2 linked regions of the Kluyveromyces lactis genome follow. The protein of the gene in region 1 interacts with the protein of each later gene in a biochemical or structural test. Links are inferred from orthologs where the notes say so. Each region holds a gene or a part of one and is shown in the gene's direction. Other genes may lie near its edges.

What was found. The genes of interacting proteins can lie anywhere in the genome.
Region 2: the proteins of ATS1 (region 1) and KTI11 are reported together in a solved structure, tested with the Saccharomyces cerevisiae proteins (2 studies listed by BioGRID, with this or other methods). The link is inferred for Kluyveromyces lactis from reciprocal best matches to the Saccharomyces cerevisiae genes ATS1 and KTI11.

The regions. Positions count from the first base shown.
Region 1 is NC_006042.1:1,471,150-1,477,749, reverse strand, and holds ATS1 (Ats1p), read left to right. Parts: upstream 1-4,287; coding exon 4,288-5,337; downstream 5,338-6,600. Other genes in the region: ATP-dependent RNA helicase DBP5, read right to left, coding at 1-637; STD1 (Std1p), read right to left, coding at 1,036-2,409.
Region 2 is NC_006041.1:1,813,938-1,819,017, reverse strand, and holds KTI11 (Kti11p), read left to right. Parts: upstream 1-1,328; coding exon 1,329-1,577; downstream 1,578-5,080. Other genes in the region: RPS8A (40S ribosomal protein eS8), read right to left, coding at 1-40; KLLA0_E20417g (uncharacterized protein), read left to right, coding at 2,036-3,322; E2 ubiquitin-conjugating protein UBC6, read right to left, coding at 3,645-4,400; KLLA0_E20373g (ribose-phosphate diphosphokinase), read left to right, coding at 5,070-5,080. UniProt on the Saccharomyces cerevisiae protein: Required for the first step of diphthamide biosynthesis, a post-translational modification of histidine which occurs in elongation factor 2.

The DNA.
Region 1 (6,600 bases):
TTCTACGAATCAAATCGAGAACTGTACCAGGTGTACCGACAACTATGTTTGCAGTTATCGGCTTATTTCTTTCGAATGAATCCGGAACCACTAATTGTGAAGAAGTCTTAGTAAATTTACCCATTTCTTGGATAACTTCTAAAGTTTGTCTAGCCAATTCTCTCGCTGGTGATAGACAGATGGCCTGTGTTGAATTGACATTTGGATCTACACGAGTCAACATTGTCAATGAAAATGCTGCCGTCTTACCCGTACCAGATTGTGATTGTGCAATCATGTTATGTGGAGGATCTCTAATCAATAATGGTAAAGCTTTCTCTTGAATCTTAGATGGCTTTTGGAACTTCATTGCATACAACCCTTTCAAAAGCTCCTCAGATAGACCAAGCTCTTCAAAAGACTTTACACTATACAATGGTGAGTTTGCATCTGCCTGCAAATCGGCAAGATTAACCTTCACTTCGTATTCAGAGTTAATAACCTTGTTTGCTGGTTCTTCAGCTTTAGTCTCTTTAGCATCTTCCTTCTCAACCTTAGTTTCAGATGTTGTGTCATTGTCCTCAGATGCCTTTTTTGCAGGTTCTTTGATGTTCAAACGAGCCATCAAATCACTGGCTTCTTTGCTTAGCTGTGCCATCTTGAAGTGATTTTTTGGTTTCACCGATGGGTATGCAGTGTCACAAATTAGCAAAGACAACTTCAATAGCTTACCTCTGCTATTCTATGTCTTTAATACTTCTGTAGTTTTCAATTTCTGCAGCTTTGTAAATTTTAAACCAACGAAAGATGGAGGAAATATAGTTACCCTACCTGGTGAATAATACTAGTTACAATCGAACTAAACGAATAAATATTTATATACTGTTAATATGTGATGTAATAACTGCACTTAAGGCAGTACTGTGCAAGATATGGTCATAAATTTAGCTTGGTACGCAGTTGAAGGGATAGCATTAAAAAAAAAAAAAAAAAAATATATATATATATATGTTCATTAGAATGAGAAAGTTTTCCGTAATTGTAATTTCCAATTGATCATGACTGGATTCTGTTTGCACTGACATTGTCAGGTGTCCAATCTAAACCTAGTCTTTGGTACACTTGCAGTTGGCAATGGGACCAGACCATTGACTTTTCGTCTTTTGTTAAAGACACTTTCGTAGGTACTTCGACTAATGGCACAGGAGCTTGTTGTTGTTGCTGTTGCAAAGCCTGTTGCTGTTCAAGTTCCAATTGTTCCTCGATCTTGATTTGAGAGTTTCTTAGTAGTGCCCTTCTGAGCAGCGAATTCTTAGACTTCTTCGGTATTATTGATGGAGGTGGCATATTAGGTTTCTTTACAGTATTTTGCTGCTGAAGAATCATGTTTTGTTGGAGAGCTTGTTGTTTCAGTTGATCTAACTTCCATTTTTTGTACTCAGAACAAGCCTTCTTGAAATCAAATCTACATTGTGCCTCAACTACAATGTTAAGTAAGTAGTTCTCTATAATGTTTCTCCATTCAGGCTTCGATAGTTGCATGACTGGTTCGTGATGGCCTATTAGCTCTTCGTGTCTTTTCCTAGCTGAATTGACTGTATATTTGGCACTGGTTAGCTTAAACTCGTAGTCAAGATTAGCTTCGATATAAAGATCAGAACTTACCAACGTCGATATGATGAATTCATCTGGGGAATTCAGTGGTAATAACTGGAACCTGAACTCAGGAATAGATGGTTCCGTACCATTGTTACCCTGCAGTTGATTGAATGCTATGGTAGGAAGTTTCCCGTTCCATTCGGGCCTCAAGGACTCTATTATGAGTAACGACCTTATATCATTAATATCCCAATCTAAAAGTTCTCTCTTAGTAAAGTTCGGCCTTCCGTTGCTCATCAAATTTTGAGGATTCATCAAAATATCTGGGCTGTACATGTCGTAGAATATTGTTGGTAAAGCTTGCTCTAGTGTAAGTGTCAAAGGTTTCGAGTCCTGTTGATCTATCACAGATGACGCATCAGTAAGTTGCGTAGAAATTGTATTGAAAGAGGGTGACGAGAAAATCGAGGAACCTGTCCCTGATGACATCGTCAGCCCAGTAATAATGGACGCCGCATCCGATCCATAATCTTGTCTTGAAGATGATGCATTACTGCGGTATGAATGTAATGACCTGGCGCCACCAGTTGATCCTGAACGTTTCTGTAATAGCCGTCTCTTAATCTCATCACGAGCTCTATTGGCAAACTCTGGAGGGGCATTGACAAAATCCTTCTTTCCATTGTTACTAAGCATGGGTTGATCCTGTGGTAGACTATGCGAACTGCTACTCTTACCTTCTGGTATCGTAGCTAGGTCATTGGTTTTCCTTTTTGCGAGTACCCCAGGTAATAGATTTGTGGCCGATGTGGGCGGAGGTGAGACAAACATCTTTGTAGGAGAATATTTGTGTATATCTCGATGCCGTTTCGATTTAGTGCAAATGAATTTTTACGGCCGGTTTTTGATTCACTTTTTTGTTCCTCTTGTAAATTGTTTTCGTTAAATATGTGGCTCTGTTAACCAGCCAGAGTTTCGACCAACCTGGTAAGCCACTTTATGGGATTTTGGTGCTTTTATCAGAAAAAATATACGATAAAGGAGATCGGTTTCGAGCTTGTTCTTACTTTTTCTCTTTTTAAACGTCTGATAATCTCCGTCTCTTTGAAAGTGTTCTTTTTAAAGGAAAAATGGATATATCTAGAAAATTGAAAAATTCTGAGCCCGGAAAAAATTTGTGTCTGTATTCTACGTGGATAATCGGAAGAAAGACCGACGCACAAATGGTGATTTGAAAAAAGGTTGCTGTTTGAAGTGATACCTAACACAGGTAATACGATGACAGTTTGATACAGAACAATATATGGTAGGAATTTGGTATGTTGTATTCTTAAGTAAATTTTTGGGAATCATACGTATGGCTTGGTTAAAAGAGGGAGCCAAGTATAATATTATGCATACTTATATATATGTCAGAAGTGAAATCCACTCTGTATAGTGTGAATGGGAAAAAACCCGAGGCTGGAAACGGCGGAGAATAAACAATACACAGTGAAATACGGTCAATAAAAACGGCAGATATGTCGGGACAAAGAGCGTACGAACTTCAATTGTATGGCAATAGGCCTAGGGGGACATCTCCAGTTGTATTTTTACTTTGGGTTTGTTGCCGAACATGAATAGTTAACGAACGAATTTACTTACATAACACTTGAGACGTGAGTTTGGCATACGCACTCTACCGGGGATACTACATGAATTGAAGCCAGGGATTGCTCTGGAAACAACCTGCTGGATATTCTTCCGAGCTCTGACTATAGCTTTTGAGTGATACCCTCAGCTCATCATCCAACTGCGGATTATGCCATGTTCTGCCTTTTCTGTACGCAACATTTTTCCAGCTTCGGTAAAACTATTGGTCAATTCGCACTGGTCGGTAAATACCTTGCTTCCTTTTTTTTTTTTTTTTTTGGAGACATTCCTTAGGGAGAAAATATTATTCCAAATGAACTTTTTCAGATGTGGGGAGACATCCTTTTGCACTGAAAGGGTGTAGGAAACTGAGATATTTTTCCGGAAGACTACGTGAAAAGCTCCGGTGGCCCAGATTTTTTTTTATTGTATTTTCTTTTTGGTTGTGTTGTTCAACGAATTCGTCTACGTAAGAATAGGGTTGATATCCTTTGTGGACCGCATATGCAATAATTTAAGCATCTGTACACCGCAATGAGTTTTGGCCAGAACATTGTTCCGGGCCCGTTGTGCCCAACGATTCCTTGAATCTTGGGCATTACAAGGAGCCACGTTACAAATTTTTCCGCATGTCTCCCACTTTACTACGAAAAAAGTTGCTTCGGTCGGCCCCATAGATGCGAAGGTCGAGAATAAGATATGATGGTAGGGGAAGTGGGTCTATATTCAAGGTAAAGATTCCCAAAAATTATGAAGGGTTTATCCGGACGACATTTTTCCGAACGTGTTAACAGTTTTTTGGAGAAAACAGAGAGCCCCGGGCGTGATCAGGTGTGATGTGCTCCGGGCTGCTTATGTTTTTTGTCACATGACTGACAGGAATTATTTACCAGATAGAAACCGGAAATCTGTCAGCCAACTGCATTTAGCCTTTTCTACTACTCGTTGCATATCAAATGTGCATCAGCTGTAAACGAATGTGGTGTTTTGGTATGTCATGACACTTGCAACTACCTGACACAGCCATACCGACTCAAATCGGCGTGCTCATTCGTAATATTGTGTTTCTCTTGACATATGGCAAGTTACGAATTACTATGTTTTGGTTCCAATGGGAATGGCCAATTGGGTGTAGGACACGATGAGGACTTGATGCTGCCTCAATTGAGCTTTCAAAGTGATGGTGTTGGTATTAAAAAAGTGTCATGTGGGGGCAACCATTCGCTACTATTATTAGAAGATGGGTCGTTGTATTGGTGTGGCGATAACTCTTCTGGTCAATGCGCTTCCAGTGACATTAAAATAAGTCTCGAATGGATCCCTATTCCAGGGAAATTTCTCGATATTGCATGTGGTTGGGAAGTTACTATAGTTATTGATGAGGATGGCTGGGTTAAAACCCGTGGAAGGGGTGATAAAGGCGAATTAGGGGTACCTAGGTTGAAACACAGTACAGAATGGATTGATCTGTTCCGATGTGAAGATCCAAAAGGCTCCCGATGTTATGCAACTTTCCAGCATTGCGTAGTGGTTGTTCCGGAGAAGATATACGGATGGGGCAATAATAGGAAGCTACAAGTGTGTGACGACTCAGCCTTGAAAATCATTGAGGAACCAAAGGTGATTTATGAGGGGGATACGTCTGATATCGAGATGGCTTTAGGAAAGGACTTTACCTGTGTACTTTCCAGAACTGAAAATAAATTAATTATAAAAGGGTCATTAGCAAAAGAACTTCCCGAATTGATATCACAGTTGTCGCATGATTTCGGATCAATTGCCAAGATTGACTCTATGTGGTCCTCGTTACACATTCTTACTGGTGAACGAAAGCTTATATCCATTGGACGAGGTTCTCATGGCCAGTTTTTGGAAGAACCTCTGCCTTCAGAAACTCTGGATTTTGTTACTGGTAGTGAGCATGGGGTAGTAACTACTGCTGACATGAAAGTATATTGTTGGGGCTGGGGAGAGCACGGTAATTGTGGGTCTTTATTCAAGACAGAGACAAATCCGATCAATGACAAGAGTAACGTTATCAGCCCCCTTAATATGATAGGAAAATACGAAAAAGTTGTTAGCATCTTCGGAGGATGTGCGACCACATGGTTAGTGTTGGTTACGTGAGCACCGATTATTTTCTCTTAGCAAAGAGAAGAACGCTCTCTAATGTATATATGCATCTATGTAACAAAATGTTAAGAAGTACCTTTCCCATATTCATGTTGAAAATATAAAATATACAACCATGGCAATTAATGAAAATACCAGGCGGCTCACATGGAAAATATGTATAGACTTCTTGATTATTGATGTCTAGAGACTCGTATCACCCAAACAACTAGAAATCAAAGTAAAAATCACACTTTCCTATTCGAAAACAACAGAGAAAGATAAATCAATACGATGATTAGTAGCCCAGTTTCTTTAAAAGTCCCTTGCAAGAACCCAGATAATCACTTATCCAAGTTCTTACTGATCTTTTTAGAAGAAAAATAATAAACGATACAACTGTTAATAACGAGTTATCATATTGTAAGTATGTTGTGTGCGATGAACTTTCAGATACTTTTCGTTTTTTTTATTTTAAAACGTTCAATTTTTCTTTTTATACATAAGTCCTTCACAAGAAATAGGGCCTTAGTAACTGTAAATGGTTTATTTACTGCAATTAACTGGGTATTGCTCGTAATATTAGAGCACCTATTATAACTATCGCAAATCAGGAATCTCTTGTACTGTTTTATTGTTATGCTATCTTGCTATATCCGTGAACAATAGTAACCCGCGTATCGTTACACGAATAAATTAAGTCCGGGTAATAGTACAACTGTTGATAATCCTCGCCATAATCAGATATGTGGTCCGGGTAATATAATAAAACGATCAAAATGACGAAAGCTCAGAGTAGAGCGTATCGAGACCAGAGTGGCAACAGCTGTCACTTCTTCAGTAACAAGCAAGCTCTAACCCCCGATAGTTACAGAAACTGGAATATTCTCAACAACATAGAAAAGAACATTGGCATTTAAAGATCAGAGCTACACCAATTGTGCATCTACCTGTGCCCCGGTTCTTTATTTACCACTCACTAATATTGTTACCTCTCTTTGTTTCCACTTCTGCACAGGTTCTACTGAGTGTTTTTTCTTGTTTTCCTTTTATCAAACGGTTTTTAAGACTTTGTTTTTTCTTTGAAAGAACTAAATAAATCTTATATTGAAATTAAAACATTAAACATTAAAAGACATAGACTTCGGCAACTAAGGAAGCTTTACAGCCTCATCAGACGACTAGTTATTACTGTACTGACTGTGCTTTTTTTATTTGATATAAGAGGAGAATTTAATATAATCGAGATACTAAACCGAAAACATATTAAGAAATAAG
Region 2 (5,080 bases), on another chromosome or scaffold:
TAGCAGCTCTTTTGTGACGAGAATCACGAGAAATACCCATTTTGCTTTACTGTAGATAAAAGCTTTAGTAAAAGATGTTAGTAAATTTTTCTTTCGTTTGATTGCCGTTAATTAGCTTTTGCTTGTACTTTCACAGAGTAGTTATATAAGATAACTTCAGATGCCACCAACGATGTTTTCTCTTTGAGTTAATTACTTCACAAATAATTTCGCCTTCTTGGTTGTATACTATCCCGTACTTCCCACCTTCGATATTAGAAAGCCGCTTCTTTACTCGTATGAATCTCCTCAGTTCGCTAGTTTTTTGCTACACCATAACGGACTTCCCACTGATTATTCCTTGGTAACTGTCATTCACCCTCAGTGATCTAAAACATTTTCTAATTCATTCCATCAATTCAAAACTCTTTCAAATATATCTAAACATGTAATCGCACTGTTCTCTCATTGTATTGCATCCGCTGGTTACTCCACAAAGCACAATAGTACCCACGTATAAAACATACTATTTGACCTGGCTTCTTGACCTCTTCTTGTATTTCAAGAACTATCCAATACAATAACTATAGAAGGTAACAGTATATAACAGTATACAACAATTTTGTAACTTTTCACTAGATGGAAATCAAAGTTGTTCTTTCGACAAAATGGACCACACTGCCGAGTATTGGACTGCCAGAGGGAACCAGCTCGCCCAGAGAAAGGGACAGAGAAAGCGTGAGAATGGCCAAAGGTGAGCTGGAGGAGAGACTCCTGGGGAAAGATTCTGCCTAGGTGGTAGATGGAATGTTGCTCTCTGGGCAGACGGGCAGGGATATCGACGGCAGCCAGAAACTGAATGAGTGGTGTGGGCCAGAGCATTCTGAGGCCAGAGGGGGTTTACACCGGTAGTGAGTGGCTTGGGACGGCCTGGCTAACCATTATGGTATTTGTCTGTTTTAAAAATACTTATTACCTTTTTAGGTATTAGTGAAAATAAATGAAATTGAATTATGTATGGGTGTAAAATATATGTCTGGGTTGTGATAGTCCCGAAATATCACGTGACTTCTTCAAAAGAACCAGTCCTTCTTTTCCCGGTTTTCTCAACAAGTTAAAAAGAAAAACTGAAACTTTTGACATGAAATGACAATTGAGTCAATCATTACGCTCATCGCATTATGTTTAATACCTATGTCTTCATACCCAGTGCATTCAATATTCTCTAACCTAAGGGTACGGAATTGGAATAAACTTTTGGTCAACCTGGTGCTGGCATATTGAAGAGAGAAGTGACTACTAGAAGTTAACTTAAAGAGAAAGAATTAATTATTAATAGTATTAGAACAATGTCCACTTACGATGAGGTTGAGATTGAGGATATGACTTTCGACCCAGATACACAGATATTTACGTATCCTTGTCCCTGTGGTGACAGGTTCCAAATTTCCATTGATGATATGTATGACGGAGAAGACATTGCAGTTTGTCCCAGTTGTTCGTTGATGATCCAGGTGGTTTTCGACAAGGAAGACTTGGTGGAATATTATGTGGAAGCAAATCTGGAACCACCGGGTAAAATTGCTGTAGCTGTGTAAAATATTTTTGCAGCATCACCCTCGTCATTTATCTGCATTAGTTTTGCATGGTTATACAGAGTGTGTTCTTTTAGTTTGTTTATGGTTTTCTCACCACTCTTCAAGCACCGCACTGTATATAATTTCATTCTAGGGATGATTTATCAATCCTCTGGCAAGCTCCACTATCACACTTCCATCCGCACTGGACAGTCATTAAATTCAGTTCTTACCACATCATGCATATCGTTCACAAGTCCGTACTATATACCCCGGATCGTATATATGTTCTCTGTTTTAAGCATTTTCTGTATTATCTATTGTTTCTCGTATTAAACTAAATTTCATTTAAAAAAAGCGTCAATTAAAAGAATTAGAACGGAGTTTACACAGACTTCCGCTACCATGACCCTTAACACAAGGATGCTTACCACTTCAAGCCTTTCTGGATAAATTCATACTGCTGTAACTCTTTTACCATGGCGGAAGAATTGTTAAATAAACACGATCCGAAGTTGGCATATGTGGTGAAATATAATCATGATTCACCAAACCCTAGGGAATTGGCTTCCCCTTTAGAGATGAAAAGAGTCGCTAGGCCGCTAAGACATATCCATTATGTGCCGGTTAAATCGCTAATATTCTATTCCAAAAATCATCCTCCTCAGTTCTCCTATGAAACAAAGATAAAGACTCCAATATCTAAAGATGTCATTTCCGTGCAAGTGGAATATGTCGGTTTAAACCCAGTTGATTTAAAGATATTCAATAGTTACACTAGGCATATGAACTATGAAGTTGGCATTGGAAGAGAGTATTATGGAAAAATCTCAGAAGTAGGCTCAAATTTGGCAGATACGTGGAGTGTCGGTGATGAAGTTTGCGGTACTTTTTGGCATCCAAATTTAGGTAAAGGAACTTGTGAATCTACCATTTTGGTTGATCCAAAGGTTGACGTTGTTTTACCTAAGCCAGTAAACATCAGTACTCAACAAGCGGCATCTACTTTTTACTGTCTTGGAGCCGCATTCAATATCCTTGACAAGCTTGATCAAGAGGGGAAATTAAATCAAAGCAGCAATATATTGATCAATGGTGCCTCTACAATGACCGGAATATTTGCACTACAACTCTTAAAGTTTCATTACAGGATATTGAACAGAATCGTGTTAATCTCATCTACCTCCGGTATGAACTTCATTAAGTCAAATTTGCCTGAACTAGTCGATGAATTGCTCTTCATCGACTATGCAGCAACGAACGGTAAAATCTACAAACCATTAAGCGATCTAGTGGCAAGCAATGAATTGGTTGAATATAACAATGAAACTGGAAATTTTATAACTCAACCATTTGGCCAGGGTAGCTTCAATTTAGTTCTTGACTTTATTGGAGGGTATGACATTATCGGTCACTCTTCTTCCATTTTGTCCAAAGATGCTACTTACATCACAACCGTTGGCGATAATAAATCGAATTACAAGAAAGATACTTTTAATTCATGGGGTACTGCAAGTTCTAATATTAGAAAGCTGTTCGGACAGGTGCTATGGTCTTTCGATTATCAAATGTTTTATTTTGATCCAAATGCCAAATTAGCGACAAATGAATGGCCAAAAAAATGTCATGAGCTAATAGAAAGTGAAGTTGTCAAGTTTATTCCTGTAGATAGGGTATATGATTGGAAAGAACATCAAAAGGCATTTTCCTATCTGCAGACAGGCCGTGCACATGGTAAAGTTGTTTTAAAGGTAGAGAAGTTTTGAACTTTAAGCTGCACTTATGAATATGTGCTAATATCTTGCGAAATGAATTTATGAAAAGATGTTGAACGACAAAAATGACCAATGATATGGCTACGGCTTATAATCATTGTGATATTTTTAATTTTGTATGTTTTTTTGTTCTAATTGTCTCTTATGAATTGACTATTTATATATTTTTTATGTAACGCCGTCTTAAATTGTTGAAATCTCAGGTGACGAGATCATATGAACCGCTGTTGTGGCCATAGTTGGAAACATAATATCAATAATACTATACTGTACAACACTTAGAGCCTAGAAGATGCTAACATATTTGATGAACTCATTTCATTATTAAACCGACGAAAAAAATCGCAATAGCCAAGATCAGACAAAGCAGCGATTTGATGTTGCTATTCTCGCCAGGATTTTTATCCTGATCTTTCTTATCCTTCTCGGCCTTTATAAGCTCTTGAATTCTTACTCGATCCTCAGGATCCGAAATGTCGTCTAGTGAAGTTGCTTTCTCCGTGGCTAGTTTCTGTGCTTTATTTTCCTCTTGTTGTGCTCCTTTGGATTCCGCTTCCAAAGCAGCCTCCCTCTCTATGTCCTTAATATTCGACTCTCTTAAATCAGGGAACATATTCTTGAATTTGAAATTGCTATAAGTATTAAAATGTTTCGATTTCTTAGCCAGAGTCCTTTTATCCTTATCAGAGGTTGACACCGACCCCGTTGTCTGTTCATCACCTGTCATGAAACTTAAAAGGCCATTCAATATAGTCACTACAGACCATGCTGGGTTCCACGCCTCTGGATGATAATCACTCATCGAAAGACATAGTCTAGTATTTTCCTTGAATCTGCCGTTAGGCGTAATCATGCGAATCGCCGGTGGATTAAATGGGTAGTCTGAAGGGAAAGTTAACGTTCCATGATATTGACCATTCTCATACGGAGTGCTAGGTGGACCGGTAATCACGTAATGCCATTCTAATATGTTATCTTCATGTGGTGCTGCAATAATGAATGGAGGAGGGTTGTTAACAATGTTCTTGTATTCCTTAGTCAACCTTTTGTTAGCCTGTATACTTGCCATCGTACCTTTTAACACGCAAATATGAGATACTGGGATGGTAACGAGCGATAGATTGGAACTTCAAAACAGGAAACACTTGTGTAAGTCTTTCGCAGCGGACAATATACTGTTCTTGACCTTCCTAGATCCTTCAACATTGCAATACAAAAGCATTCTTTCTCTCATTTTGGCAGAAGATACAAAAAACCTTAAAGTTAAATAAAAGTTTCTTAAATACATAAAAAATTCGATTCAAATGTCAGTGGATTCTCTATAAAAAGGGGAAAATCTGGGGTACTCACCACGAGGAAAAGCCTAACAGCTGAAAGTATTACGACCTAATTTACTATGTTCGCTGAAATGACAGTATTTGCTGCCAACTACTGCTGTCTAGTCTTTGTTTCTGCCAAATATCATTATGTCATGTCACCTTATAGTATTATGTACGGAATATCTAATGGAAGAATGAAAAGCTTTAAACAGAGTTTTTTATCATGAAAAGATACAAATTTGAATGAGTCGAAAATCACATCAAGAAAGTAATTAACTTGTAGATAAGGACCAAAGTCCGAAATAATCAACTATATCGTTTAGACAGTTGCTGTTGCCATATCCAATTTCCATATTTGGTTGCATCTGGTGCTCTGGTTTCGGTTTTTTGGAACGTAATATCTACCATATACATACTGTATGGAAACGAG